Mus musculus: one gene and its partners. The protein of the gene in region 1 purifies or fractionates together with the protein of each later gene. This does not show direct contact. Links are inferred from orthologs where the notes say so. Each region holds a gene or a part of one and is shown on either strand. Other genes may lie near its edges. The genes, in order: Smad7, Tgfbr2, Wwp1, Usp15, Acvr1b, Tgfbr1 and Itch.

Region 1 (3,937 bases):
TGCGAAATAAAGATTAAAAGTCGAGGCCACCCAACTTCTCCAAGCTGTTCCTTCTCACCCCGAAGCTCGCACAGCTGAGACTGGATACCCAGTTCAGTCTCCATCCTACCACTGCCCCCAAACTCCAAAGCTGTGAGGCCAGGACAGTATCTGGGCCACTCGTGTCCCACGTGACTGTCCTTATTTACTAAAGGAGAGACTTTCCAGCCTTTAAAGCTAGTTTCTCCCAGCCTTCCTTGGCGGGCTTGGGTCGAATCCAACTCGGCCACACACCTCATCGCCTTTCCGGGTGCGGGGGAAGCCGGATTCCCCACTTTACTCTGTACCCCCTTGCAGACCCGGAAATTAGACTGTCTCATTTTCTGCAGCATGTCTATTCAGTAGAAGGATAAGCAGTAGTAACCCTGGGTCCCCTCCTCTGGAGGCGGGGGGTGGGGGGGTGGGGTGCAATAGAGAAAAATCTTAGAGGGAACCCCAAGCTTCCCCTGGTCCCTTCTCTGACTTAGATTCCTTGTCTCCTCCAGGAGGTTATACACACATCCTCGAGCATTTCCACGCCAGAGGGAACGAAAGGTGGACTCAGAACAACTTCTTACCTAGTTCACAGAGTCGACTAAGGTGATGGGGGTTGCAGCACACCAGCTCGGGGTTGATCTTCCCGTAAGATTCACAGCAACACAGCCTCTTGACTTCCGAGGAATGCCTGAGATCCGGCCACCTGAACACTTTGCACAGCAGGAGGGGGAGCGAGTAGGACGAGGGCGGCTGCGCGGGCTGCGCGCTGGCGGGCGCCCCCGGGCCCAGCCTGCAGTCCAGGCGGCCGGGCAGCAGGAGGCACGCGGTGCGCGTACCGCCGCGGGACTCCACGGCCTGAAGCAGCAGCTCCAGCTGCCGCTCCTTGAGTTTCTTGAGCACCGAGTGCGTGAGCGCCTTCAGATCCGCCTCGGCGCCCCCGGCCGCCCCGGCACCCGAGGTTGGGGGATGGGGATGGTGGTGACCTTTGGCACCTCGGACTGCCTTGCCCAGGCAGCAGCCAGCCCTGCCCGCACCGCCGCCACCAGCCCCATAAGCCCGGCCGTCCGTCGCCCCTTCTCCCCGCAGCTCGCCTCCTCCGCCGCCACCCCCCACGCCCTCCTCCTCGTCCTCGCCGCCGGGCGCACGGCTCCTCCAGAGACGCCGGACGAGCGCAGATCGTTTGGTCCTGAACATGCGGGGCGAGGAGGCGAGGAGAAAAGTCGTTTGCCGGCTAAGGAGCGAACATGACCTCCGCACACCATGAAGAAGTCGGGCGCCGAGTTGGGGCAGCAGGCGCAGGCGACAGCAGCAACAGCAGGGGCCCGGGCAGAAGCGGCGGCGGCCCGAGGGGCGCTCCGTGGCATGCGCCAGTCTCCCAGAGGCCGGGGCGCGCGCGGGGGCCCAGGGGCGCCTGCCGGGGATCGGGGGGCTGCGCTTCGGCTGCCCCACCCGGCGCGGCCCGCGCCCTGCGCGGCTTTCGGGCCCCGGCGTGCCCTGGAGGAACGCGGCCGCCGCTTCCCTGGGGGCGGCCGAGGCAACCCCGGTAGACGCCTCCCCCAAAAAAGGCCCCCCTACAGTGGCTCCCGAGTGTCGGGCTCGCCAGCCTCGGCTTCCTACATGGAAGATCCTCGGGGGCAAAAAAAAAAAAAAAAAAACGAAAGACGTTAGGCTGAGCTACTAAAGGGAGGAAAAAGCCTCTTTCCCCCTTGCTAAGCAACTTAATTTGGGGGTGGGGAGAAGCAGGCAATTAAAAAAAAAAGGCAGGCACGATTTATTTTTTTTCTTCTATATCCTTAGTAACCGGATCTCCTCGAATTCTGTGCACGCGAAGACTTGAGGGAGGGGACCGAGTAGACTTCACCCCTCGTGAGATGTCTGGAGGGTCTCTCAAAACCCCCAAAACCAAAATATGCAAAGCCCCCAATGAAAAAACACACCACCTCCTCGCACCTCGGAGGTCTGGAGGGCACCGGATGGAGCCCGGGTTTAAAAGAGAAAATGTTTACAAAGTAAAACAAGATGTTGGAAGGGTGGGGGAAAAAAACCGTATCCACGAGTTACATCCCCCTTTTTTTCCTTGCTGAACCCAGCCGGTCTTCCTTTCCTTTTCTTCTGCCAAAAAAAAAAAAAAAATCGTATTTCTTTTAATCCACAGAAAGGTCTGGCTAGGCTGCTTCAATCTTGCGTATCTGGGTGTTTTAGAGTCTCTGGTCTTTCCTCCTGCGTTCCCGGGGGCCCAGGTCCTCGGCGGGGACTTCCTCCGCGCTGGGGAAGCAGGGACAGAAGATGCTGCGGCGGCGGCTGCGCCCCGGGGGGCTGTCAGCGCGGGGGAGGGCGGCGCGGCGGCGGGCTCCGGCGGGTCGCAAGCTCTCGCCCCCGAGGGCACAGGCTAGTGTGGGGGCCTCCGGTGCTCCTTCTCCTGGCCGCGGGTGGCCGCCGGGGCTGCTCTCATGAGCTGCTGGCCCCGACCCGACAGTGGCGGCAGGAGGCCCGGGTGTCCTCTCGCAGCCTCTTCCTCGGAGACTCTCTTCGTCGCGCCCCGGAGCCTCCTCGTCCCCCGTCCGCCCTCTCCTGGCGCTCGAGTCCTTCTGCCGCCGCTGGGGGCTCGCCGCGCCGCACTCAGGGACTCCGGGGCCGAGCGCTCGGCGGCGTGGCGCCGGCTGGCTGGCTGGCTGCGTCTCAGGCAGCTCTCTCCGGCGCGGCGAGCGGACCGAGCGAGGCGCCCGGCTGGCTCTGCTGGCGCAGCTCGGGGACAAGATCCTCTGTGCGCCGATCAGCGAGCGAATGTGCCCAGGGCTCGCCGCCTCCCGCAAGGCCTCCCGCCTCCGCCCCCTTCCCTCCCCCCTCTACCCCTCCCTCCCCCGCCCCCAGCCGCCGCCGCCTCCTTCCCGCCCCCCCACCCGTCCCTCTGCTCGGCTGGTTCCACTGCGCAGTGGCGCGCCCGGCTCCGGCCTCGTCACGTGGCCGTCTAGACACCCTGTCGCTTTAAAAAAAAAAAAAAGCGATTGTGTTTCGCAAACAACAGATCGGGTTTCTAAAAGCTATTTCAACCCCCCTCCCAGTTACTGCCACCCTCTCCCAGGTCTAGAGAGGGGTACCCACGGTGGAGGGAGGTGGGAGGCCGAGACGGCCCCGGGGGTCGGCGGAGACCCAGCGGGAGCAGGGGGAAATCGGAAGAGCTGGGGGCATGGAGCGGGCGAGTTTGGAGCGGAATGAGCCGGTTAGTGGCCCGATTTAGACCAGCAGAGCTCGCCCGGGCGCTTCATTCATTCGTTTTGTTTTAAGGCCCTGGCGGCGGATCCCTTGGAAAGGGGAGGAGATCGCTGTCTGTTTCAAAGACATTTACACCGGCCAGGACGGAGGCCCTGGGAAGTGTGCGCTAGAGGGAACAGCCGGGCGGCCGAGGGCGGAGAGGCGGCGCGAATGTGACCTCAGCGGCCGCCGCGCTCCCTCCCGCCCTCTCCCGCTCCGGGCTCGGGTTTCTAGGACTGCCTGGAGAAGTGTGTCTTGTGCACAGCTCTGGAATGCATTTGGCAGGCTGACGAGCAGCGAGGGGCAGCATCCTGGAGGGAGGAGGGGTGCAGCTCGCCCGCGCGCCGCCGGCAGGTTTCCTCCCGGCCTGGAAGACCTCCGGCACCCGCCACTCGGCCTCCCGGCGCGCTAACCTTGCCCAGCCAGCAGACCTGCTTAGAGCATCCAATCGCATGCGGGGCCTGCTTAGGGTCAGAGAGTTTATTCCTTCACCATAGGTTCCAGAGAAAGCTATCCCCAGATGCAAGTGATTGCTAGGAAGTAGAAAAGGTATTTGTCAAGCAAAAGTCCGTGGAGCAGGTCTGAGGATAGTACTAGAGTGTTAAATGTTACTGAGACAACTAGTTGGCATGGTGATCCAACCTGACATATTTAGTAGGTTTTTGAAAAG
Region 2 (3,500 bases), on another chromosome or scaffold:
TGTGCCTGTGGTGTGGTACCCAGGCTACTGGATGCTGTGTTCAAAGGGCCTGGCTGGAACTCAGCTGTTGAACCCAGATGCCAGAACGGACCTGAAGCCACTTACTCTAACATCCGGGAAGTGGAGACTGAAGGATCCCTGGAGCTCAATGTCCAATGTAACCTCCTTGCTGAGTTCTGAATCATCAAGAGACCCTGTCTCAAAAACAATGTGTGGCTGGGAAGGTGGCTTAGTAGATGAAGTGTTTGCCACACAGCATAAAGACCAGAGTTCAGATCGCTAATACACTTATAGAAGCTGAGTAGGCTTGGTGCCCAGCGTAAATAACCCTGAGACTTGGGTGGTAGAGCAAGGGGGTCAGGAGTTCAAGATCATCCTCAGTTAGATAATGAACTCAAAACCAGCCTGGGATGCATAAGACTTTATCTACATAGGAAGGAAGGAAAGAATGAAGAGAGGGATGGGGCAAGAAAGGAACTAATGAACCCAACCAAGAAACAAGCAGGTCAGTGAGCGCCTTTGAGTCCTAGCAGTGAAGGCAGAGATCAGCAGGTGACTTGCAAAAGGTATGGAGAGACTTCACACCAGGTAAAGTGCTTGCTGCATTCAAAGCACGGGGAACAGGGTTTGGATCCCCAAAACCCACATAAAGCCAGCTAGTGTGGCAACCCTCTCATAATCCCAGCTCTCCAGAAGCAGAGACAGGAATCCCCAGGGCAAAGATGGCTAACCACCCAAGCCCAATGGTGAGTTCTGAGTTCAGGGGGAGTCTGGCTCAACATACAAGGTTGAAAGTGATAGAAAAAGAGAACCAGTATCAACGTCCACATGAACGTGCACACTTGTATGCAGATGTGCATACACACACACACAGACACCACATGTACACATATAAAACACCAAAAACGAAACATAAATGTCTTGCAAAATTAGCGTGCCATCTTGCGGTTATAAGACAGCCACTCCTGATAACACTTGCCCTGCTACATCTTAGACTACACTTTTTGTTGTTGTTGTTGTTGTTGTTTTTGATTTCTTGAGACAGGGTTTCTCTGTGTAGCCTTGGCTGTCCTGGAACTCAATCTGTAAACCAGGCTGGCCTCGAACTCAGAAATTCACCTGCCTCTGCCTCCCACGTACTGGGATTAAAGGTGTGCGCCACCACGCCCAGCTAGACTAAACTTCTGTTCTGGCACCTATCAAGTCTTGCTGACGGATGGCTGTCAGATGGCCATCATGACACCCCCTCTACTAATTTGCATTCTGAATTTAGATGAGTATTGGGTAGGTTCTCAGGTCCCCCCAGTTAAAGCGTTCTCCAGAGAAGGCAAGGGAGCTGTGTTGGGGACAGTTCTAGGGAGCTGTGTTGGGGACAGCTCTGAAGAGCGGGCAGTTTCTGGCTAGTGTTCCCTCTGTTTCTGCTGCTTTCTCCTCTTCTTTCTCCTTGGCCAATGCAAGATGCACTGAAGCCACCAGACATCACACAAAGCCTGCTGCCACGGGAGGCTGGTAGGAGATGCCAGAGAAAGCAAAGGCCCATTTTTTTTTAACATTTCCAGACATGCCCAGCCTTTTGACAGTGTGATCTACAAAGTTCATGCTGGAGAACCATGCAATCAGTCACGCCCAAAGTAAAACATAAACAAATCACAAAACACATCCTACAGAGTTTTAAGGATGTTTATGATATTGCTTTGGTCTCTATTCATAGCTATCCTGGTGCACATGTAGCCTGCAGGCTTCAGGCTGGGGATACCTGGATGGCTTTCTGACTAGATGACAAGGTCTCTCTGTAATCTGTCCCTTCTTCTGAAGGGACTGGCATGTAGCAGGTAGATAGGTTAAAAAAAAAAAAAGACCTGCCAATCTCTGTCTGTCTGTCTGACTGCCCATAGATTGTCTATACACACATACATACATATATACACACATACATACATACATCTAGAGGTTGGGGCATCTGGAATAGTAACATCATGCCTTCAAACACTGAGGGCACCCAACATCCATACTTTAAAGGATTTGTGTCAAGGTCATGGCTATTGGTTTTAATTGGAAGTCACAAAACACAGGCAGGAAACAAAAAAACAAAAACTAAAAACAAAAAACAGATGTAAAACAGCAAGAATATGAGTCCCAGTAGGAACTCTTTGCCAAAGGGCATGAGGGAAGCTACTGGGAGTCAGAGAGAGGCGGGTCTCCAGACCATGGAGCTGTTGGTCCATTGTGCACATTCCTTAGGCTCCAGCAACTGCGCTTTTCAAAGGCTGTTTCATTTCAAGGAAATAATAGATGAAGGAAAGGAACGTCAAAGAATATTCAGGCCTGCAGTCCCAGCACTCAGGAGATTCCAAATTTGAGGCCAACCTGGGCTGTGCTTAGTGAATCACAGGCTAATGAGTAGCACAGTGAATGCCTCAAGGAAAATAAATGAACATACAGGGTAATTAATTAACTAAAAGTATCTCAGTAACATGTGTGCATTTATTACTTATCCATAATTCTGTATAGAGTGGTATCTTAGGCCAGCCAGCCCAAACTAATCTTGCCATAGTAAAAGATCCTGCTTCAAAAAGCAAGGTGGATGGCTGCTAAGGAGTGGCTTCCAAAGTTGGCTTCTGGACGTCATACACATGAGCACAAATGTGCACATATACTATGCACACAGCCACAAATCCATGCACACACACAGAGAGAAAATAAATTTTAAATAATACTAATAATCTCCACTGCTAACAATCCCCAGCTGCTGCAGATGCCCTGAGAATGAGCTTGGGAAAAGAACCATCGCTCTGGAGGACAGAAATTGCTTGTCAGGGCCAGGTACCAAGATGGGAATCAAATCTGAGAAGGGCAAGCATGGAGCCCACTGCTTCTTGAGTTCCTCTGTCCTCTCCGTGCTCCACACAGCAGTGCTCCCCTGGAGGACTGTTACCCGGGATAACTACTCACCTTCCGAAAAGATGATGTAATCGTTGCACTCTTCCATGTTACAGGCACACATGAAGAAAGTCTCGCCCGCCCTTTTCTTTTCCTTCATGACACACTTGGGAGAAGCGGCATCTTCCAGAGTGAAGCCGTGGTAGGTGAGCTTGGGGTCGTGGCAAACCGTCTCCAGAGTAATGTTCTTGTCGTTCTTCCTCCTGGGGCACAGAGGTTTGTTGAAGACAAGAGAGAGGGACAGAAAGAGGGGACGATGAATGACCAGTCTCTGGATAGAGCAGTTGAGTCTGTGCATTCCTTAGGAAGTGGTTTCCACTTGAGTGTCCCAAACTCTCCTGCACCGGCTTCGTTTATCTCTCTCCACCTTCTGCTCACCTCAGAGCCTGATTATGATTACAGACAAGATAGCTATCCTTGTAGACATGGTGGTAGATCTCTTTCTTTTTATCTTTGGTATACATGTATGTGTGCAGAGATGTGTACCTGTGCCCACATGCATGTGGAGGCCAGAGATCAACATCCAGTGCTATTCTGCAGGGGATGCCCCCCTTGGTTAT
Region 3 (3,500 bases), on another chromosome or scaffold:
TATACAGAAACACAGTCAGAAAAATAAATGGCCTGGCTAAAAACAGAGACATGAATCAATTTGATAAAATACAGGCCCTAGAGTTAAAAAGCCACTTGACTTTCGTCTAATGAATGGGCAGTTCTTGAAAGATGAGGAACAAATGGAAAAAAAAACAAAAACAAAAACAACAATGTTCAACATCACTAGTCATCACAGAAATGCAAATTAACACTACACAGAGATTCCATCTTACCCCAGAGTTGCTAACAAAGAGAAAACAACAAATGCTAGCAAGGAAGCAGAGAAAAGAGCATCCTTACACACTGCCGCTGAGCATGTAATCTGGCTTGCTTCTATAGTAACTACTAAAAGACAAAAACAGGAAAGAGGACTAATTGCTTACCAAATACCATACAGCCATGGAAATATGCATACAATTAACATCATACAGACTGAATAGGTTATATTTAGGAATATATACGCATATACATATAAACATGTAACAACAGTTAATGAAAGCATGGGTCCATGAATTTGAAGGAGAGCAGAGGTACATGGGAGAGGGCTTGAAGGGAGGGATAAGAAGAGAGAAATAATCTAATTATATTTATAATCTCAACTTGATGAAAATGCGTAAAGTTAGAAATGATTATGTTTAGTGAAATAAACCAGACAGAAAAGCAAAGGTTTCATGCTTCCCTTTTTTCAGAAAGGTATATATTCGTTACTTTTTTCTTCAAAGATGTGTTCTTATTTTAAGTGGATGAATATTTGCCTGCACATATGTTATATGTACCATGTGAATGCCTGGTGCCTGCAGAGGACAGAGTCGGATCTGGAACTAGAGTTACAAATGGTTGCGCGCTACCATGTAGGTTCTGGGAACCAAACTGGAGTTTAGTACACAGGAGCAGCAAATGCTCTTAACTACTGAGCCAATTTTCTAGCTGTCCTGTGACAGGAAAATAGAAAACGAACTGGGAAAGGATAAGAGTAGCTGAAGGCAGTAAGGCTAGGGGGAGGAAATGCAAGACTGAACATACTCAAAGCCCATGGTTACTTAAAACTTCTTTGTACAACCCAGCAGCATACATACTGAATAGATGCCAATAAAATATTTATTATGTACAAGCTAAAAATTGGGATTGTGGGCTGTGTGTGTTGGTACACACCTTTATTCCCAGCAAACGTAGGTGGGTCTCTGATTTTGAGTCTGGGTTGGTCTATAGAACAAATACCACAACAGCCAAAGCTACATAGAGAACCCTTTCTTGCAAAGCCAAAATAAATAAATACTAAAACTTTTCAAGAGTAGTGTGGGATGAAATGTCAGTGAAAGGGGAGTTCCCAGACACAATTCTGCCCATTCCTGGCATAGCTTCAGTCCCTTCATCTGTAAACGAGGAGGCTACATCGCCTTTGCAAAATACTTTACGTTAAATTTTTATCATAAAGAACTTAAAAATAAAAAATTCATACACCAAAATTAACCAGACCCCACATCTATTGATCGTTATAAACATTCTGAAGCTGTGAAGCTTCACACTGGATTTTCACTATTGAATATTTGCATGCATTTATCCATCACCAAAAAATGGCAGATTTAAAACTAGAAAAAATATACTTTATATCCTCTTTTATGAATCAAGTTTCAGTTACCTACATTCATTCAGTCTTTCACTATCATCTCTGATAAGTTACTCTTTCCTGTTCTCTTCTTCAGGTTATACTATCCCGAAGTGCACTTTTACACACACACACACACACACACACACACACACACATTGCATTGTATATGTATATGTGTAATAGGCTAGGAGAACATACAACTTTTCTTTCTGAGATTTTGAAGACTGGAAATCGCTTTCAGCAGCATGTTGTCATGGCTTCTGACTTGGTCAGAAGCGAGACTGCCTATTGCGAATGCACATGGGAAAGTGACTAACGATATGCATTGTTCGAGCAAACTCGAGCAGGATCTGGATCAGCACAGAGCACAAGGACCTGAGCCAGCGGAGAAAGAACCTGACGAGAGTTTTCCATGTGTTTCATAAAAACTACTAAGGTTAAGAGTGTAAATATAGGATATTTCTAATTATATCCCATACCTTCTACAGAATGAATTCAATCAGCTCTATCAACCTACCCAATATATTCATCTTTGTTTTCTTCCGTCACCAGGATATTGGAACCTCCCAACTTTAAATCATGTGAAGTAACTTTTCCCAGAATCTCCATGTCTACAGAAAAGTACATTTCTAAGCCACATTCTTCAATATTGTTATCTCTGGATAAAAAAAAAAAAAATAGTGTGAGTGTGCATATAAACACAGTATAGGAATGGGTTTCAAGTAATTACTTCTATTACAAAAAAAAACTTCAAACCTTATCCAGATTAGAGAGTTGTAAAATTCAGTATCAATAGATTCCAAATCCTTAATAGTAAGTTTTTTACTTAGCATACGCTTGTAGAATGGTAAAGAGAAACCAGTATCAATAAACTTTCCATGGAACAGTGCCTGTTAAAAACAAACAAAACATTTTATTTAAACTTACAAAATAATAATCTTTATAGCATAGTGACAATATAGAAATCATGCAGCTTTACATATTAAAAAGCACTATTCAATGGTATAAAATGTGAAGATTAGCATACTATGCAATGCATAGAAAACTACAATGAAAACATTTATTTCATAGGTCAAACATAATGTACATAAAAACTATAAAGAGATGATGAGACTTTATTACCAAATTCTGCCACTTTTAAATATTTTTAGTAATTAACTTAAACACAGAAATAAAAAGCCCATGTACTTTGTTCCATTCCTTTATTAATCTGTAGGACCCCTGTGTCTTCATGCCTACATACAGCATGAATACAGGAAGACACCAATGATTTTTGAATCCATAATATCTAAAACTATTTGCAGACCCTTAATCTGTTTACATTAAATCAATAAATCATGAAATTATCTTCTTATATAGCTTCAAACCCTCCCCAATGTATTTCTAACAAACTCCCAAATCTAGACAAAATCAATTAAGAATTTATACTGCCTATATAGTGGTAGAACATGCTAGAAGTACATATAGCAAGCTAGCTAGCTATGACCAGCAACCTCATAGAAGCATGTTTACTCACGACATTCAGTTTCCCTGTCTCAGATGACTACGAACTGCTATTCCTTTGTCCTCAAATACTTACTAAACTTACTGCACACAGGAAATGGTAACCGGGAGCACATTTGTGTAGTCTACCCATCTGCTCACCACTAGCATCTCAACTCTCATACTCCTATTGCAAGTAAACTTTCTACCACTTTTGTGAGCAATACAAACTTCTCCCTTTGATTCAAGGTCATTTGCCAATACTTCTTATATTACGGGGTTCATCCAGTTCTTTTTCCTCATCTGGGCTTGGTGGCTATAACCAGCACACAGGAGGTTGGGGTAGGCTATCAACCTAAGCTACAATATCAGAATCCTATTAATTGTTACCAAATTCTCTAGGATAC
Region 4 (3,500 bases), on another chromosome or scaffold:
GGAGGCAGGGACCACAGATCTAATTTCTTTGTGGCTTGCTGATGCTCTTTACAATTTGGACAATACCTATCAAGAAGAAATCATAGCGCTTGACAGAGGCAGAACCATGCCTGCATTACTGAAAACTATGAACCAAAGTCACCGCATGGGCAGGTTCTCCATCTTAGCAGTGAGTAATTATTGTAAACCTAACAGAAATGAACATGCAAGCAATTCCTCACGACATTAATCCTCTACATTTTCACATGAGCTTTATAAAGAAATACTCAGAGGAAGGATGAAAGTGGTTTATTAGGGAGAAGACAATACAGTCCTGAGAATGAAGGTTCCACTCTGATACTTCACAGAGCCATCAGCATCCTTCTTTAGACCAGAGCTTATTATATAAAGACACCGCACTCAAATGCCAAGGAAAGCCAGTCTTGGCCGGCCCGCCCGCCCGCCCAGCACACGCCCTCCAGGGAGGACGCAGACAGCGCGTGTCCGGCTCTTACCAGGGGTCCTCAGCACCCAGCTTCTCCTTGGTGGTGAAGAGCTCAATGCAGTCTTTTAACTTCACAAAGGGCCTTTTTGGAGGTTTGTATTCCACACTTTCATGTTTTTCAAAATCCTAAAGAGATGTATTTCTTGAGTTATGAGAACAAGTGAAATGAAACTACTCTTAGTCATAGGTGAACTATGTCTTATCAACAATGCCAACTTTCAGAAGCATCCCAGAGCTTACGCCCACTGACAGGTCACGCGGCCCCTTCTGAGTGAGCCTCTGGCTGACTAACCTCAGGGAAAGCATGTTCAAGACCAACTACACCTTAACGACTAAGTAGCTTAACCTTGTTTTCTGCTAAAATCAACGTATCCGTAGAAGCAAAGGTAGAAGGAAGAGTATCATTAACTCCTAGTTACAGAGAGAGAGTGAGAGAGAGCAGAAGACGACAAGGCCTTACCTCTGCAGCATTCTCATCAAAGTATCTCTTCTTCAAGTCAGGGTCCCAGTCCAAAGCGAGAAAAGATCTTTCTGAGGTGAAAAAATTTTTTTCATTAAAAATGTTGTAAGATTTAAATGTTAAAATAAGCGTATCTTCGTGCCAACACATACACCATAGAAGAGGAACCCCAGCATGTTTCTACTTGCACTAGGCGGTCAGGGCAAGCCTGAGAGCTGCACCCATGCCGCTGACATAAATAATCTGAGCGGTGAAGTGATACAAAGCTTAAACACACAGACTTTGATAAACACTGCCACTGTTGAAGGCATTCATTAAGGCTTTTAATTATTACTTATAGATAAGCAAACGTCCTTTTGTTCAAGACAGGTCTAAATTTCATGGTCTCTGACCTAAACAATAATTTGCTCTGCTCAAGTTCAGTGTCCACGCCATTCTCAGATACTCACCGTCCAGCCGAAGCTGCCTGTCATCGAATCGGATGTGACTGGTGTCGTCTTTGATGTAGTTGATGTCATTGTTGCCTAAGTTGTTGAACTGGAATGTAAACAAGCGCTTTTTGTGTCCCGTAAGTTGACCTTTGCATGTTTCTTCAGTGCACAATCCATTTTCAGAATCGTTATCTCCTCCGACTGAATCTTCAGACTGACTGTTCTCGTTCTCTGAGGGAAGCTCTTGATCCTGGCTGGACTCGTCATCTGGCTCGTCGGTTTCCATCTCACCTTAGTGTAAGGAAGAAGGGAGGCCTTTAAATAACCCTGCAGTGCACTTCCGAGTCACTGGCACTGCTCTCCTACAGCGACTCGTGTGCTCTGGGTGGGGGAAGGAGGACTTAGAACAAGTCTTACTTGGTGAACCCTCTTCATGTAGGCCATTTGGCCCATTCCCATTAATATTCTGGTCCTCACAGCAACGTAGGTGTCCATCTGTTTCCTCAGTTTCAGTAGACATTTTGACATACCGGCTACAAAAAGAAATTTTTAAAAATCAGGTAATAAATGAGCCTGCTAGAAAATTAACTTTGCATTTGACTTAAGAAAACCAGCTACGTTAACTTAACCTCAAGACCTCACACTGAAGTAAAGCTGAGTCATCATCTGTATCTGTGTGGTTTTAATACAAAAGGGGACTGTTTACTTCTAGGGTTTTCCCCCCTTATACCTGTAGGCTTGTTTGTTTGTTTCTGAGACAGGTCTCATTGTCTCTCTGAGGCTGGCGTGAACTCTATGTAGACTAGGCTAGCATTGAACTCCTACCTCTCTCAGCTCTGCCATCTCAGTTCTGGGATTAAAGGTATTTGCCCCCACACCTCGCTGCACGGTCTGCTTTAATTTAATTACGTTTAATTACATTTGTGTGTGTGTGTGTGTGTGTGTGTGTGTGTGTGTGTGTGTGTATGCATGTACATCAGGTGTGTGGAGATGGAGGCCCAAGGACACCTGTAGTCACTGGTTCTCCCCTTCTACCACATTGGCCTCAGGGACTGAATGTGGATTGCTAGCCTGGTGGCAAGCAGCCTTATCTTACCTACTGAATTGTCTCTTCATCTTGGGATTTCCCATATTTTATATATTAAAGATGTAGCACAGTGGATCATTTCTCAACTTAAAACAAGAACTTCATAAGCGGCCCTCACATGTGTGTATTGTTATCTTTATACATGGGTCATGAAATTACCATGCTTTGGTATATAGGAAATATAAAATATGTCAGGTATAAAGGATAAGAGAAGACGTCTAATGGTATTTGCCATTACCTTATTCACATTAAGGTTTATAAAAAGCAGTGTGTGTGTGTGTATGTGTGTGTGTGGGGGGGTACTGTCTCACCATGTCACCTGTTAATACTGCTGTGACGTTTTGAACCAGCTGCCATCTGAGATTTACTAGGATTTCTGCTCTGAACTAATATTAGTCATTGGCCAACCAGAACTGCCTTCCCACTGGTGTAAAACAGCTAAGGATTGGGTTCACAAATTTGAAATATCAGTAATGAATTTTATGTGACCAGGTCAATGGATTAGAATGTAATTTTACTTTTACTTTATTATTTACTTTGGTACTCTTTTTGTAGCCCAGGTTGTCCTCAAGTTTGCTATGTAAAAAAAGTAGGGGGCTGGCGAGATGGCTCAGTGGTTAAGAGCGCCGACTGCTCTTCCGAAGGTCCCGAGTTCAAATCCCAGCAACCACATGGTGGCTCACAACCATCCGTAATGAAATCTGATGCCCTCTTCTGGAGTGCCTGAAGACAGCTACAGTGTACTTACATATAATAAATAAATTAAAAAAAAAAAAAATAGAAGCCAGGTGTGGTGGCGCATGCCTTTAATCCCAGCACTCAGGAGGCAGAAGCAGAGGCAGGCGGATTTCTGAGTTCCAGGACAGCCAGGGCTGCACAGAGAAACCCTGTCTCAGAAAACCAAAAGGTAGAATAAGAATCCCTGGTTGTCCCAGTTCTGTGTCAGAAGTGCTGGGGTTACAGGTATGTACCCTAAGTCCTGTTCACGCAGTGGGTCACACCTAAGGCTGAGATTACAGATGTACATCACCACCTTCT
Region 5 (3,500 bases), on another chromosome or scaffold:
GAATTTCTGTAAAGCCCTGGCGGAGACACACGTGCATGTTAAGCACACAGTAAATCCAGCAAACCTAGGGTTACTAACAGCTGTTATTTGGTCCAGTGAGAGAATGGAAGTCAGTCATGATAGATAAGGGGATTGGATAGAAGGAGAGATAGACATCAGATGAGTCAAATGAAGCAATGATGAGCCCTACAAGGCAGTAAACTGAGTCATGAATTAGTGTGGGTAGTCCCCAGTCTACACTGGAGCTTCCTGCTCTTCCTCTGCAGAGCTACGTACCCTGTGTGCTTCCACCATAGGTCTGCTTTGTTGGCCACACAGCATCGCCCTCTAGTGGCTAGTGAGCAGGGTGGCCAGAAGGCAGTGCCCAACTCAGGAGTCTGCTACATTCTTCCTGTTACACCAGAATAAAGCAGCCATCAGTGAGTTGGTAACTCTAGTCAAAGATTTACATGTAGTCTTTCATCCGTATAGCCTGGAGGGGAAGTCCTGGCTAAGGGCAGCTAGCATGTGTTTTTCTGTGCTGACTTGTGCTTAGCCTGCTGGTAAACCACCTAGCATGGCTCCTGCCTTGCTATAGCATCCTGTGGCTATTGGGCCAGGGAGAGTGGAGAGACACCTGGTGGAGGGCCTTTCTGGGGGTGTATATTGTGTGGCAGGCCCAGAGTTTGGCAAAATTGCAGTGTCAGATTTTTCTCTATTCTTTGGCCTACAGGGTTACCCCTTTTTGTCCAGCGCACAGTGGCCCGAACCATTGTTTTACAAGAGATTATCGGCAAGGGCCGGTTCGGGGAAGTATGGCGTGGTCGCTGGAGGGGTGGTGACGTGGCTGTGAAAATCTTCTCTTCTCGTGAAGAACGGTCTTGGTTCCGTGAAGCAGAGATCTACCAGACCGTCATGCTGCGCCATGAAAACATCCTTGGCTTTATTGCTGCTGACAATAAAGGTACTGTGTCCCAAAGTCAGTGGCCACTTGTTGGCGCTAGAGAGGCCTGGCTGCTCTGCTCTGCTGCACACAGCAGGTCTGAATAAGACCATAGTTCTAAACCCACTTTAAATGTGGAGCATTTTATGCCAAGATGCTCACACGGAACCTGGGTTATTGCGTAGCTAAGAAGGCCTCCCATGCCCCACAGGCTTTTCTTCCTCTATCCCTTGATTTGCTCTCCGATCTGCACCCAGCATGGCCCCCATTGGGACTCCCGTGTGTTTGTTTTGAAAACTGCTACAATAGGAATTACGTTCTCACCTGCCTGGGCAGGTGGCAGAGACACATACACGGTCTACAACACAGCACAAGCGTTACACACACTGTCGTAGGGAAGCCACCATAAGCAGACACTGGCCTTTCAGTGTCACCTCATAGCTATGAGACTGGTTTCGGTCTGTTTTATACCTAGAGCCCCAGAGCTTCTGCTGCCGGTCCTCCCCCTCCTCTATCCCCTCTCCTTCCCCTCTCTATCCCCTCTCCTTCCCCTCTCTATCCCCTCTCCTTCCCCTCTCTATCCCCTCTCCTTTCCCTCTCTATCCCCTCTCCTCCCTCCTCTTATCTCCTCTCCTCCCCCTCTATCCCCTCTCCTCCCTCCTCTATCCCCTCTCCTCCCCCCCTCTCTCCTCTCTCCTCCCTCCTCTCTCCTCTCTCCTCCCCCCTCTATCCCCTCTCTTTTCTATCCCCTTTCCTCCCCCCCCACCTCGTTTTTTCTCCTTTGTCATAAGGCAGACTAGACATATAGGACAGCCTAGCCACAAATGTACAGTCTCTCTGTCTCAGCCTTTTATATACATGGGAGAAGCAGGGGAGGGGTAGACAGAGACAAGGTTATGCTGGACTTTTGTGCGTGCCCATGCCCGTGTGTGTGTATGTGTGTGTGTGTGTGTGTGTGTGTGTGTGTGTGTGTGTGTGTGTGTTAACACATACTATGTTGTGTGGCCTGTAATTCTAGTTCCAGGGGATATCATGCCCTCTTTTGGCATCTGCTGGTACTTGCATGAATGTACACATAGCCCTACAAAGACACACCATACACACACACCTGGCATTTGGTACCCCTGGAACACAGAAATTATGAGGGCACTGAGTTGTGTTTTAGAAGTGTCTGGCAGTTGTGACACACTTCCCTCTGCAGCACAATGACTAGAGGCTAGTGTCCACAGATGTATGGGGAATGCCAGCTGAGCGTGTTCTTCAGAGTGCTGCGGGGCTGCAGGTCCCTGGCTGCCCAACAGCTGAAGAGCCCTGGGTGTTAGTGCAGGGGAAGAAGAGACGGTCTCAGCCCTCTGAGGAGCTGCTGCTATCCCAGACGTCTTAGAGTCATTAAAAGGCTCCAACTGTCCTATGGCAGGTCATGGCCTCCTCAGAAAGGAGTTACTGGTTAGAATATGGCCCTCTTTGGGGTCAGAGCTGACAAGGTTGAGACATTTCTAGCAGCCAGCCTTTATTGATTCTGGAAGCTTGTATGAGTTGGGATCTGAGTTAGGGCCAGGAAAGGAGGGAGTCAGACCCCTTTGTTCTTGCCTTGTTACCATGATATAGCCAGTGTGAGGCCCTGGGATTAGCACCAGCCTAGAATTTGGAAGCTTTCAGCCCAGTTTCTAATCTTCCTAGCAACAGCAGCAAGCTTAGCCAGATTGATCAGTGTTGCTTTCTCCTCTCCCTGTCCTCCGTCCTGCCACCCCAAAGTGAAAGAGAGGGGTCAGCAAGCTCCCTGCCTTCCACTGCTTTCCTGAAGGGCAAGATGGCCTTTGTGGGAGTGCTCAGAGCATTCCTGGCTCTGCAACAGGGATGCACAAATGGGATCCTTCTGCTCTCATCATGGCCCTTGGCCTGAGAATGGACACCAAGTGGAAGGAGACATTTCCAGTGAGACAGGTGCTGCACTGGGTCATGATCGAGGGAGGAGTGCAGGCAAGAGCGGGCTCTCCTCCTGGGCAGCAGTGGGTGGAGCACGGAGAGCCTCCTGTCAGAGCGAGGAAGCAAGCCATCAATCGGTAACAAACTGAACCTGCACATTCCAGACTTGGCGATAAAGTGGCGCTGCTGAGCATCTTCCTCACTGACTGGGCTACTTGCTTGTCTCTCTAATAAGACCCCACAGCCAAGTGGCGCACGCCTTTAATCCCAGCACAGAGAAGGCAGAGGCAGGTGGATCTCTGAGTTCAAGGCCAGCCTGGTCTATAGAGCTACACAGAGAAACCCTGTCTCAAAAACAAACAAAAAACAAAAACAGGGCTGAAGAGATGGCTCAGTGGTTAAGAACACTGGCTTCTCTTCTAGAGGTCCTGAGTTCAGTTCCCAGCAACTCCATGGTGGCTCACAACCACCTGTAATGGGATCTGATGCCCTCTTCTGGCATATAGGTGTGCATGCAGATAGAGCATTCATACATAAAATAAATAAAACTTAAAAAACAAAATAACACAAATAATGGCAATAACACATAACACTACTACTACTAATAATAATAAAGACACCACGGCCTGAGTGACTTCCAGAGCGGTTTGCT
Region 6 (4,168 bases), on another chromosome or scaffold:
AGAGAAGCTAAATTATAAAGAAAAGCTGTGCATTTCTTCAGAATGTATAAAAGGCTACACTGAAACAACCTAACGAAATGAGACAAGGTGAACTTATCTAGGTCTAGCGTCTTCTTTTTGGGGGGTGGGGTTGAGATAAGACCTCTATATTATGATGTCCTAGAACTCACTATGAGATCAGAATCTGCTGAGTGCTGAGATTAAAGGCATGAGCCACAGTGCCCTGCAGGCCATAGCTTAAACTGATTCCTAATTCCACATAGAGATGCTGGGTCATATAACAATCTGGCAACAGTAAAGGACTTGTGAATGTATAACACCCCAAAATTAATTCAAAATCAACTGAGTAATGAATCTGAGGTGTTTCTGGCAATCCATGCTTATGTTGCAAGATGCAACTTCACTACAGTCTTGGTTCTAAACACACATGCTATCGTGCTATGCAGTGCTAACACAGTCCAGACTATTATTTTATGAGTTTTAATGTTTTTATTGAATATACAAAGTTTTCTATTCTTCCAGAAACATACACAAACTACAGAAAAGACTTTCATTCCTCATGTATATCAAAGTGGTATATCCTTGACCAATTGTATTGTGTTAAAATGTCTGATTTTAAAAACTGCTGTTTAAGTTGCTGACTTAAATTTCATTTTAAAAATTATTACATAAATCTCATCTTGTGATTAAGATAGAATTGCAACAATTTCTGAAATGGTCCTAAACATCTGTAATTATGTGGAGTCGCCAGCACTGGATGATTCAGTTCTTTAAGAAAAAATAAACTCACCCATCTCATTACTACAGAAATGTGCTTTAATCTTTAATAAATGGTAAAACTGTATATACCAATGAATTGTTTTAAAATAATTTTATTTATGCTCTATTATCAGTACATTTGATTTATATACCCATCTTTTACATTTTGTATGTGACTCATGGGCACATACAATCTTTTGAGAAAAGAGGGTGGCAAATGGGGAAAGTTTATGAAGTACTAGTCTAGGTTTTGAGCAATAAAAACATCTAGGCTAATTTTGTATTACATCATTGCCTAAGTAGGCTATAAAGTCCTCCAGGACATGAACCAGCCTTCTCAGCATCCACGTCAATACTGCTAAATGCATGAACGTGTCCTGCTTTGTTTTAGGTAGAAAAGAATTAATTACTTTACCCAAATAACTGTTAGATATGGTCACTTATAGTTGATGCATAATTATAACAATTCTCCCACTTTGTCCACCATTATTTCCTTCCTAAGCCAATGTCAAAAACCCATTGTATCTTCTACTGTAGACCTATGTAAAGAGAATGTTCAAGTAAACTAAGAAACTGATGGCTAAGTTATGTTATCAAATATCAACTGTTCTTTAAGTGAGTCATGCTACTTTGGTGTAACAGGTGCACAGATTTTGAACCCTGAAAGCCTAAGTGCAAATCCTAATTTCTGCACTTACTAAGAACTTAATCTTCTGCACCTCAGTTTTCATGTCAATATACAGGACAAATACTGGTACTGCGAGGGTTCTGATACTGTGTCTTTTACATCTGCATTATAATCAACTCCCAATAAACAGTAACTATTAAGTTTAATCATAGTTGGCATCCACAGTCTGGAGAGACTTTTGTTTTGGCTTGTTTTGCTTTTTAAAATGTTGTTATCCAATTTCCGCAACAAAAATGTATTTTCACTGTATGCAGGTTGCTAATGCCGAGCCTCAGTATTTTGCTTTCTCCTATTTTAATTGGTTCCTGACAAAGTTTTTTTCAATCTTCCCTCCAGAGGTGACAACCAGTATCACGACCGGCTTTAATATTTTGGGAAACCACACATTTCCCTTCAAACCCCAGCTACACAGAGGTCTGGTTTTAAAACTACCGCTTAGGGAAATGATACACCCAAAGCAACGATCCCCTCGAGAAAAGGAATAATTTGATCAATTCTACAGAACCGTTCCCATTCAAACGTTCCCAAATCTGCAGAGTGAGCAAACGTTCAAGTTTCTACTAGCAAGAAGACAATCTGCAGCCTTCTGGTTACTGGACTCTGAACTCTTCCCAGACTCACGAAGCGAGAACATTCCGCGCATCTTCGCGCCTGCTTCTCACACAAAGCCCCTGGTTGAAGAAAAGTCGCCCTAGGCGGGCGTCGGCACTCACGGCGGTGCGGCCCACCCGGGGTCTCTGCCCACGGCGCCCCTTTCGACCCTCCGGGGAGCCCTCCAAGCGCCCGGCCCCGGAGCGCCTCCACGCCGGTGCCCGCCCACGCCCCAACAGCTTCAGGCCGGGGCGCATTTAGGCAGTGGAATCAGGGGGCCACGGTCCCGGCCGGCCTCGCACCCCTAAGGGCAGCCCCCGACCTCGGCAGGCTCGCCAGCCGCTGCCCCCCGGGAGCCCAAGAGGGCCGGCCTCTGCTCGGTGCTCCGCCACCCGCGCTCGACACCGCCCCCGCCCCGCCTCTCCTCCCCGCCCCGGCTCGCGTGGCGCCTGCCGGGTCAGGAGCGCCCGGCCGGCCGGGCGCCGCCACCTGCGCCCCCGGCCCCGCGCCATGTTTGAGAAAGAGCTGAAGCGAGCCAGAGGCCCGGCCCGGCCCGCGCGCCCCGCAGCCACCCGCCCGCCACTCACCCTTCGCCCCCGGGAGCAGCGTCGCCGCCGCCACCAACACGATGAGGAGCTGCGGACGACGTGGAGCAGCGGCCGCCGCCTCCATGGTCCCGCCGCCACTGTTTGTGGCCCGGCCCGGCCCCGGCCGCAGCTTCTCCTCAGGAAGCCTCGCCCCTCCTCGCCCCACCTCCCCGCCGCCGCCGCGGCCTCGCTCCGGCCCTTTGTAACTGCTCGAGGGGCGTACGCCCATTGGCTGCCCGGCTCCCGCCGACCCCGCCTCCCCCGCCGCCCGCGAGCGCCCTAGCGGGACCTAGCCGAGAGCCCCGCCCGCGGGGCCCTGGGCTACCAATGAGCGGCCGTGGGTTTCTGCCTCTAACCACGCCCCCGCACTGCTGGGCCTCTGACCACGCCCCCTCACCGCTGGGCGCCTTTACTCCAGCCACAGCGGGCAGCTCGCGCTCCCGCGGCGGGTGGGGGCAGGGTCCCAGTCTGCGCGCCCGAGGGAGCCCACGGTCCCGACTGAGCGCAGGGTGTGCCTGTGAGAGTTGCTCAGGGAAAGACTGTGACCGTTGCACGCTCTTTTCTTCTACTCCAACCCCACCCTGACTTCCCCTGCACAGTCCTGCACCCGCAAAACCCAACTCTCGCCACTCGGACCCTCAATATTGTCCGGGGTTCAACTTCCCCCACCCTAGACCCGCGGCTTCCAGCCTCCCCGCAAAGACAGTCCGATTTCTTTCTGCACTCCACGTCCGCCCCAGACCTCGTCGTCCTCTCCCCAAATTCCAGTCTCAAAGTCGGAGCCCAGTTTCGGAATCCCAAGGTGGAGCTCAGACACACCCCCGAGTGGCCTCTGTGTCTCGGCACCGTAAAAAGACCCAGACTAAGGGTCCCCGCCGCCCTCCTTCCCTCCCACCTTTGCTGTCCCCGCGTGGAAGCGGAGAGGCCCACGGGTTTCGAAGGAGGGAGGATTGCCCTACGAAGAAGCATCCCGCCCCGGGGCGAAGCGGGAGCAGTCATAGGTACTTTGAGTTGTCTCCGACACTCCTGTGTAATAATTTCGAGGTGTCACTAAAAACCCAAATAAACTCAGCTCCGCTTTCATTCTGAATTCCTAATTTACTGTGAGACGCTCCACCCACCTTCCCTCTGGGACGCCAAAATGAGCTCCAGATTTGTAATTCTTCCTGTCAGACTAGTCCTTTCTTCAGACACAAACACAGTCACGGAGGCGGCCGCATGGCACCGACAGCATTTTTCCGCAGAACCTTTTAAGGAGAAAATGTTATTTTCTGTGTGATTTGAACTCGGAATTAAATAAAGCTCCGTAGTAGGAATCAGCCGGCCTCTAGTAGCTGTTGGTAAATTGCTTTATAGCCACTTTCCAAGAGTTTGATCCTGCTTATGAAAGCAAACCGTGGGGGCTAAGAGCTGGGGTCTGAGACTGCTCCTCGGCTCCAGCTAGGACACGCTTCAGCAAGTCCTCAACCTGCCAGAACCTGAACAGGCCTGCTCTCTGGGACTCCAGAACCATCAGTTCCTGCCTCCCCTGGCTCCCCTGGCC
Region 7 (4,250 bases), on another chromosome or scaffold:
AAATAATAAAGTAACAAAATATATTTATAATATTTGTTAAAATATCTTATAGTATGCCCAGTGACAAGAATCATCTGGGATGCTAGTTTAAAAAACAAAACAAAACGAAACAAGAAACCAACCCAGATTCTCCTAGAGCACACCACTCTCTCAATATTGGGGATAAAATCTTGGGCCTCATCAATGCTATGTAAGTATCTACTAGTGAGTTACATCTTGAGCCAACTCTTACAGCTTAATCCCTAATGTGGCAAACATTGGCTGGAAGTGCAGAAGAACTTTTAAATACTTAAACACACCAAACCAAAACTAAAAAACAAAAACAAAATCCCAAAAACCCAAACCCAGGGTTTCACCACGTAACCTCGGTTGGTCTAGAACTCTCAAGATATTTGGACATGGCTAGCCTTGAACCCACAGAGATCCATTTGTCTCTGTCTTCTAATGGAACCTGAAGCTTGCTGTGTGGTCTAGGGCGTTGACTAGGGAGCTCCTATGTCTGCCCACCACTGTTAGGGGTCCGTTGGTGCCAGCTTTTATATGAATGCTGGGGTTTCAAACATCCTTGTGCTTGCATGGCAAGAGCCTTTACCCACTGAACCATCCTCCCAACTCAGAATCTTTTTTGTTTAATAAACTCAGCACATAATTCATAATATGGTAGTTTCAAAGGTATTTCGAAAAGTTTAAGTGACTTTCTAGATAGTTTCCTTACGAGGAAACAGGATAAACAATAATAGCAAAGTTTGCTAATTATCACGTGCCTCTATTATTACCACTGCACAGCCTATTAATTCGGTAGGATTAGATGTGTTTTGCCTGGGTTAAGAAGTTTAATTTAAGCATCTGAAAAGGTAACCAATGGCATCTTTCACATAGTTTTGTTGTAAACGTTTAGAAGTATGCTTTTCAGTTTTTATAACTCATGCCGCCTTGGCGCTGTCAAGCTGTCACCCTCCTAAGAACTTCCTGTCAAAAGGTGGAGAAAGGAGAATTTGAACCCAAACAGTGTAACTCCAGAAGGATAGAACCGGCACAGTGCTTCATAAATTGTGATTCCTGCTGTTAGGAGTATCAGGAGAGAACTTGATAAAAATGCAGATTATAAAGCAACCCCTATTCCATCCCAGATCTACTGAGTCAGAAACTGGCGGTGGAGCTCAGCAGTCTGTTTTTAAAAGCTGTTCAAGTGATTCTGAGACACGCTAGCATTTGGTAACAGTCTTTAGAGGTCCTGGCGGGGAAGAAGGGGTCAAAAGGAAGGAACGAAAGAAGAAAGGAAAGAAGGGAGAAAGGAAAGGAGAAAGGAAGGAAGAAAAGAAAAAAGCCTTGGAGATGTAGAGAGCAAGGCTTAGTGTCCACTTCACCTGGAGGTGAGGAAAAATGATTTAGGAGGCTGGCGCGCAAGGCCTGCTGGGGCCTGTAGTCCGGACTGCGCCGAGGAGGCCGCGCCTGCGCACTAGGTGTGAAGTAGCTCTAGTCGCTGTAGTCGGGGCTCGGGACCGGCTGCCATCTTAGCGGAGGGACTGAGGAGTCGTCGCCGCCCCGAGTCCCGGTAAACACGCGCAGGCAGACTGGGGTCATTTCTGTGGCTTGGAGGGAGTTTGGATGAAAAGGCATGGGGAATGCGAAGGGTAGAGGAGTGTGGCGCTCGAGTCTGGACCTAGAGCCGGGGCTGCTCTTCCCGCAGCCGGTGTCCGTGGGGGGCGCCCGGAGAGCCGGCTGGTGGCCCGAGCCGAGTGGCGGGTGGGTCAGCAGGTCGAGCCGAACTGCTAGTGCTTGGCCTAGGCGTCCGGAGCCTGTAGGCCCGCGAGCCCCAAGTTGGGAGAGAGCCGAGCCGCGGCGGACGTGGGCAGGGTCCAGCCCCGCGCCCCGCTGCCGCGCCCGGGGGTTCCTCTCCCGCGGCCCGGCCTACGCGCGGGGCCCGGTGGCAGCGGCCCGCCCGCGCGACGTGGCCCTTTGAGGGGCGGCGGCCGGGCCCACCTGCCACCTGGCAGGCTCCCCCCGAGACTTTTCCAAGCTCCCACTCGCAGAGGACCTTCCCCAGTGACTGCTTCCCCTTCTGTCTTGTACTTCCCTCCTCCCTCCATTGTCCCCACTCATGGTGGTCCCGGCCCAGGCCGGCGCCACCGACTTTTGCAGACGTGGAGCTGTCACAGCCCTTTCTACCGAGAGCGTACTTTTCTTGAGCAAAGAAAAAAGTAGAGGTGAGCGCATTTGAAAGGTGGAAGCCCAATGAGGGCAGGACTTTTAAATAGAAGACTTGAGTTTTGAGACATAGTTCCCGGCTGCAACTTCAAGAGAGAAAAAAAATATATAAGGGTCAGTGCACCCGAAGTAGGCATTGGGCCTAAAGTTAGAGATGTGACCAGGTGACTTGCAAAGTACCCCAAATTCACAGTTCCCCACTCGCTTGTTTTCTTGGCTGTGTTAGAATCCTAATCCTGTTGAGACTTCTGTTCCTCTTTAAGCTGCAGTGAACTTGTTCTAAAGGGGGCAGTGGGGAGAAGAGGGAGGTTTTCTTCTTCACAGTTGACAGAACACCATCTAGCCACCCATCATCATTCTCTTAAGTGGGTGGTTCTCCTGTATCCTTATCTTAAGAAAGTAGGTAAAGGCTGTGTATGTTCACTCCCAGGATTGGCAGAGGGCTTGGTTCTCATCTGAAATAAAGTCTTTTGGGGGCAAGTTTGAGATTCAGCCTTGTGTATCACAGGGTTACCTAAGGCTTAATTTTGCAGGTTTAAAAAAGATTGAAATTTTCTTTTGAACAGTGAATATACTTTGTATGTGTGAGTTCAGGAATTCAAACTTCAGATGTCAACAAGGATATATATACTATGAATCCAAAAGCAAGTGCCTAATACTTTTTACTGTATTCTAGAGTAAATTCTACATTCTTTAAAACAAACAAACAAACAAACAAAACAACAACAAAGATTTACTTAAGAGACAGACTGATCCATGGTCCCAAGGTTTGGCCATTAGTGTAATTACAAGAGCTTTTAATTTTTTTGTTTTTGTTTTGAGACATGATTTGCTCTGTATCGCTGACTGGACTAGAACACACTGTGTGTAAACCTAGGCTGGCATCAAACGTCATTCTGTCTTCCTGCCTCTCCCTCCCAAGTGCTGGGATTATAGGTGCTTAACCAACAGAGTGGGCTCGGGAGAAGTTTTGAGATTTGTTTATTTGTGTGTGTGTATGTGTGCATGCGCACACCATGACTTGAGTTGGAAGTCAAGAGTGTTTCCTCTTTCCTGTGTGTTCTAGGGTTCACACTCAGGTCATCAGGCTTGCATAGCAAGTGACTTTCCTTGCTGAGCTATTTTGCTGGACCAGGAGAGATTTTTGAAAGTAGAGTTTTCAGCTCAGTTGGTAGAGTGCTTGTTTACCACACACAAGGCCCAAGTTTATTTAGCTCTCAGAAGCATTGGGAGGTGAGGCCGCCTGAAGTACTTGAGACCCTTTTTAAAAAAGTAGATGCTCTCAGGTCTCAGTTTTGAGATAGAATAGTGGGTCTGGATTGGCTTCTATAACTTTACTTACAGATGGGCTGTAGGTAGTTGGGATGGTTTTGGGAACACTGAGGCAAATCATAGTATGGTTATAACAAAGACAGCACAAAAAGCTTTGAGATGGGGGAGGAAGTGGAAGTGGCCTGTGTGGGATTGTTGAGGGAAGTGGCAAGACCTATGTATGAAGGTCAACATGGTTAGTTCCAGGCCATCACAGCTACCTAGTGGGTCCTGGCTCAAAAAAGGGTTAGTCTATGGACCCGAGGTTCTAGAGCAGTGGTTCTCAAGCTGGGTTTTGGCCCCTTTGGCAAGCCTCTAGCTCCAAAAATATTTACATTGTAATTCATAACAGTAGCAAAATTACAATTATGAAGAAGCAGCAAAAAATAATGTTATGGTTGGAGCTGGTAAGCCCCATGAGGGACTGTACAGCATGAGGAACTGTATTAAAGGGTCACAGCCTTAGGAGGGTTGAGAAGCAGTGGGTTAGAGGATGAGTAGGAATGGGGCAGAGGTGAAGAAAGGGAAGGAAATACCTTACTACCTCGAGGCGTGTGTCAGTTAGGAAGGTGGGAGAAAAGGAGCGCAGGGTGTGGGATGCAGGGGCCTCAGGACCAGGAGGGCAAAAGGACCTGTTCTGGAAAAGCTCTGCGTACAGTGCTAATGCTCGTGAATTTGATGTCGTGAGAGATCAAGGCTTGGGGAAAGGAAGTGGTCTAAGTTGGTGTTTA

What was found.
Region 2: the proteins of Smad7 (region 1) and Tgfbr2 purify together in Homo sapiens (affinity purification with western blotting; 3 studies listed by BioGRID). This does not show direct contact. The link is inferred for Mus musculus from reciprocal best matches to the Homo sapiens genes SMAD7 and TGFBR2.
Region 3: the proteins of Smad7 (region 1) and Wwp1 purify together in Homo sapiens (affinity purification with western blotting; 3 studies listed by BioGRID, with this or other methods). This does not show direct contact. The link is inferred for Mus musculus from reciprocal best matches to the Homo sapiens genes SMAD7 and WWP1.
Region 4: the proteins of Smad7 (region 1) and Usp15 purify together in Homo sapiens (affinity purification with western blotting; 3 studies listed by BioGRID). This does not show direct contact. The link is inferred for Mus musculus from reciprocal best matches to the Homo sapiens genes SMAD7 and USP15.
Region 5: the proteins of Smad7 (region 1) and Acvr1b purify together in Homo sapiens (affinity purification with western blotting; 3 studies listed by BioGRID and IntAct, with this or other methods). This does not show direct contact. The link is inferred for Mus musculus from reciprocal best matches to the Homo sapiens genes SMAD7 and ACVR1B.
Region 6: the proteins of Smad7 (region 1) and Tgfbr1 purify together in Homo sapiens (affinity purification with western blotting; 19 studies listed by BioGRID). This does not show direct contact. The link is inferred for Mus musculus from reciprocal best matches to the Homo sapiens genes SMAD7 and TGFBR1.
Region 7: the proteins of Smad7 (region 1) and Itch purify together in Homo sapiens (affinity purification with western blotting; 4 studies listed by BioGRID and IntAct, with this or other methods). This does not show direct contact. The link is inferred for Mus musculus from reciprocal best matches to the Homo sapiens genes SMAD7 and ITCH.

Annotation. Positions count from the first base shown.
Region 1 is NC_000084.6:75,366,228-75,370,164, reverse strand, and holds the start of Smad7 (mothers against decapentaplegic homolog 7), read right to left. Parts: upstream 2,801-3,937; 5' UTR 1,210-2,800; coding exon 597-1,209; intron 1-596. UniProt on the Homo sapiens protein: Antagonist of signaling by TGF-beta (transforming growth factor) type 1 receptor superfamily members; has been shown to inhibit TGF-beta (Transforming growth factor) and activin signaling by associating with their receptors thus preventing SMAD2 access.
Region 2 is NC_000075.6:116,126,864-116,130,363, forward strand, and holds part of Tgfbr2 (TGF-beta receptor type-2 isoform 1 precursor), read right to left. Parts: intron 3,144-3,500; coding exon 2,953-3,143; intron 1-2,952. UniProt on the Homo sapiens protein: Transmembrane serine/threonine kinase forming with the TGF-beta type I serine/threonine kinase receptor, TGFBR1, the non-promiscuous receptor for the TGF-beta cytokines TGFB1, TGFB2 and TGFB3.
Region 3 is NC_000070.6:19,625,505-19,629,004, forward strand, and holds part of Wwp1 (NEDD4-like E3 ubiquitin-protein ligase WWP1), read right to left. Parts: intron 2,502-3,500; coding exon 2,368-2,501; intron 2,270-2,367; coding exon 2,129-2,269; intron 1-2,128. UniProt on the Homo sapiens protein: E3 ubiquitin-protein ligase which accepts ubiquitin from an E2 ubiquitin-conjugating enzyme in the form of a thioester and then directly transfers the ubiquitin to targeted substrates.
Region 4 is NC_000076.6:123,124,020-123,127,519, forward strand, and holds part of Usp15 (ubiquitin carboxyl-terminal hydrolase 15), read right to left. Parts: intron 1,909-3,500; coding exon 1,793-1,908; intron 1,667-1,792; coding exon 1,394-1,666; intron 1,016-1,393; coding exon 945-1,015; intron 611-944; coding exon 495-610; intron 67-494; coding exon 1-66. UniProt on the Homo sapiens protein: Hydrolase that removes conjugated ubiquitin from target proteins and regulates various pathways such as the TGF-beta receptor signaling, NF-kappa-B and RNF41/NRDP1-PRKN pathways.
Region 5 is NC_000081.6:101,198,072-101,201,571, forward strand, and holds part of Acvr1b (activin receptor type-1B precursor), read left to right. Parts: intron 1-712; coding exon 713-943; intron 944-3,500. UniProt on the Homo sapiens protein: Transmembrane serine/threonine kinase activin type-1 receptor forming an activin receptor complex with activin receptor type-2 (ACVR2A or ACVR2B).
Region 6 is NC_000070.6:47,351,854-47,356,021, reverse strand, and holds the start of Tgfbr1 (TGF-beta receptor type-1 isoform 1 precursor), read right to left. Parts: upstream 2,801-4,168; 5' UTR 2,711-2,800; coding exon 2,626-2,710; exon of another isoform or gene 1,784-2,625; intron 1-1,783. UniProt on the Homo sapiens protein: Transmembrane serine/threonine kinase forming with the TGF-beta type II serine/threonine kinase receptor, TGFBR2, the non-promiscuous receptor for the TGF-beta cytokines TGFB1, TGFB2 and TGFB3.
Region 7 is NC_000068.7:155,132,031-155,136,280, forward strand, and holds the start of Itch (E3 ubiquitin-protein ligase Itchy), read left to right. Parts: upstream 1-1,450; 5' UTR 1,451-1,555; intron 1,556-4,250. UniProt on the Homo sapiens protein: Acts as an Acts as an E3 ubiquitin-protein ligase which accepts ubiquitin from an E2 ubiquitin-conjugating enzyme in the form of a thioester and then directly transfers the ubiquitin to targeted substrates.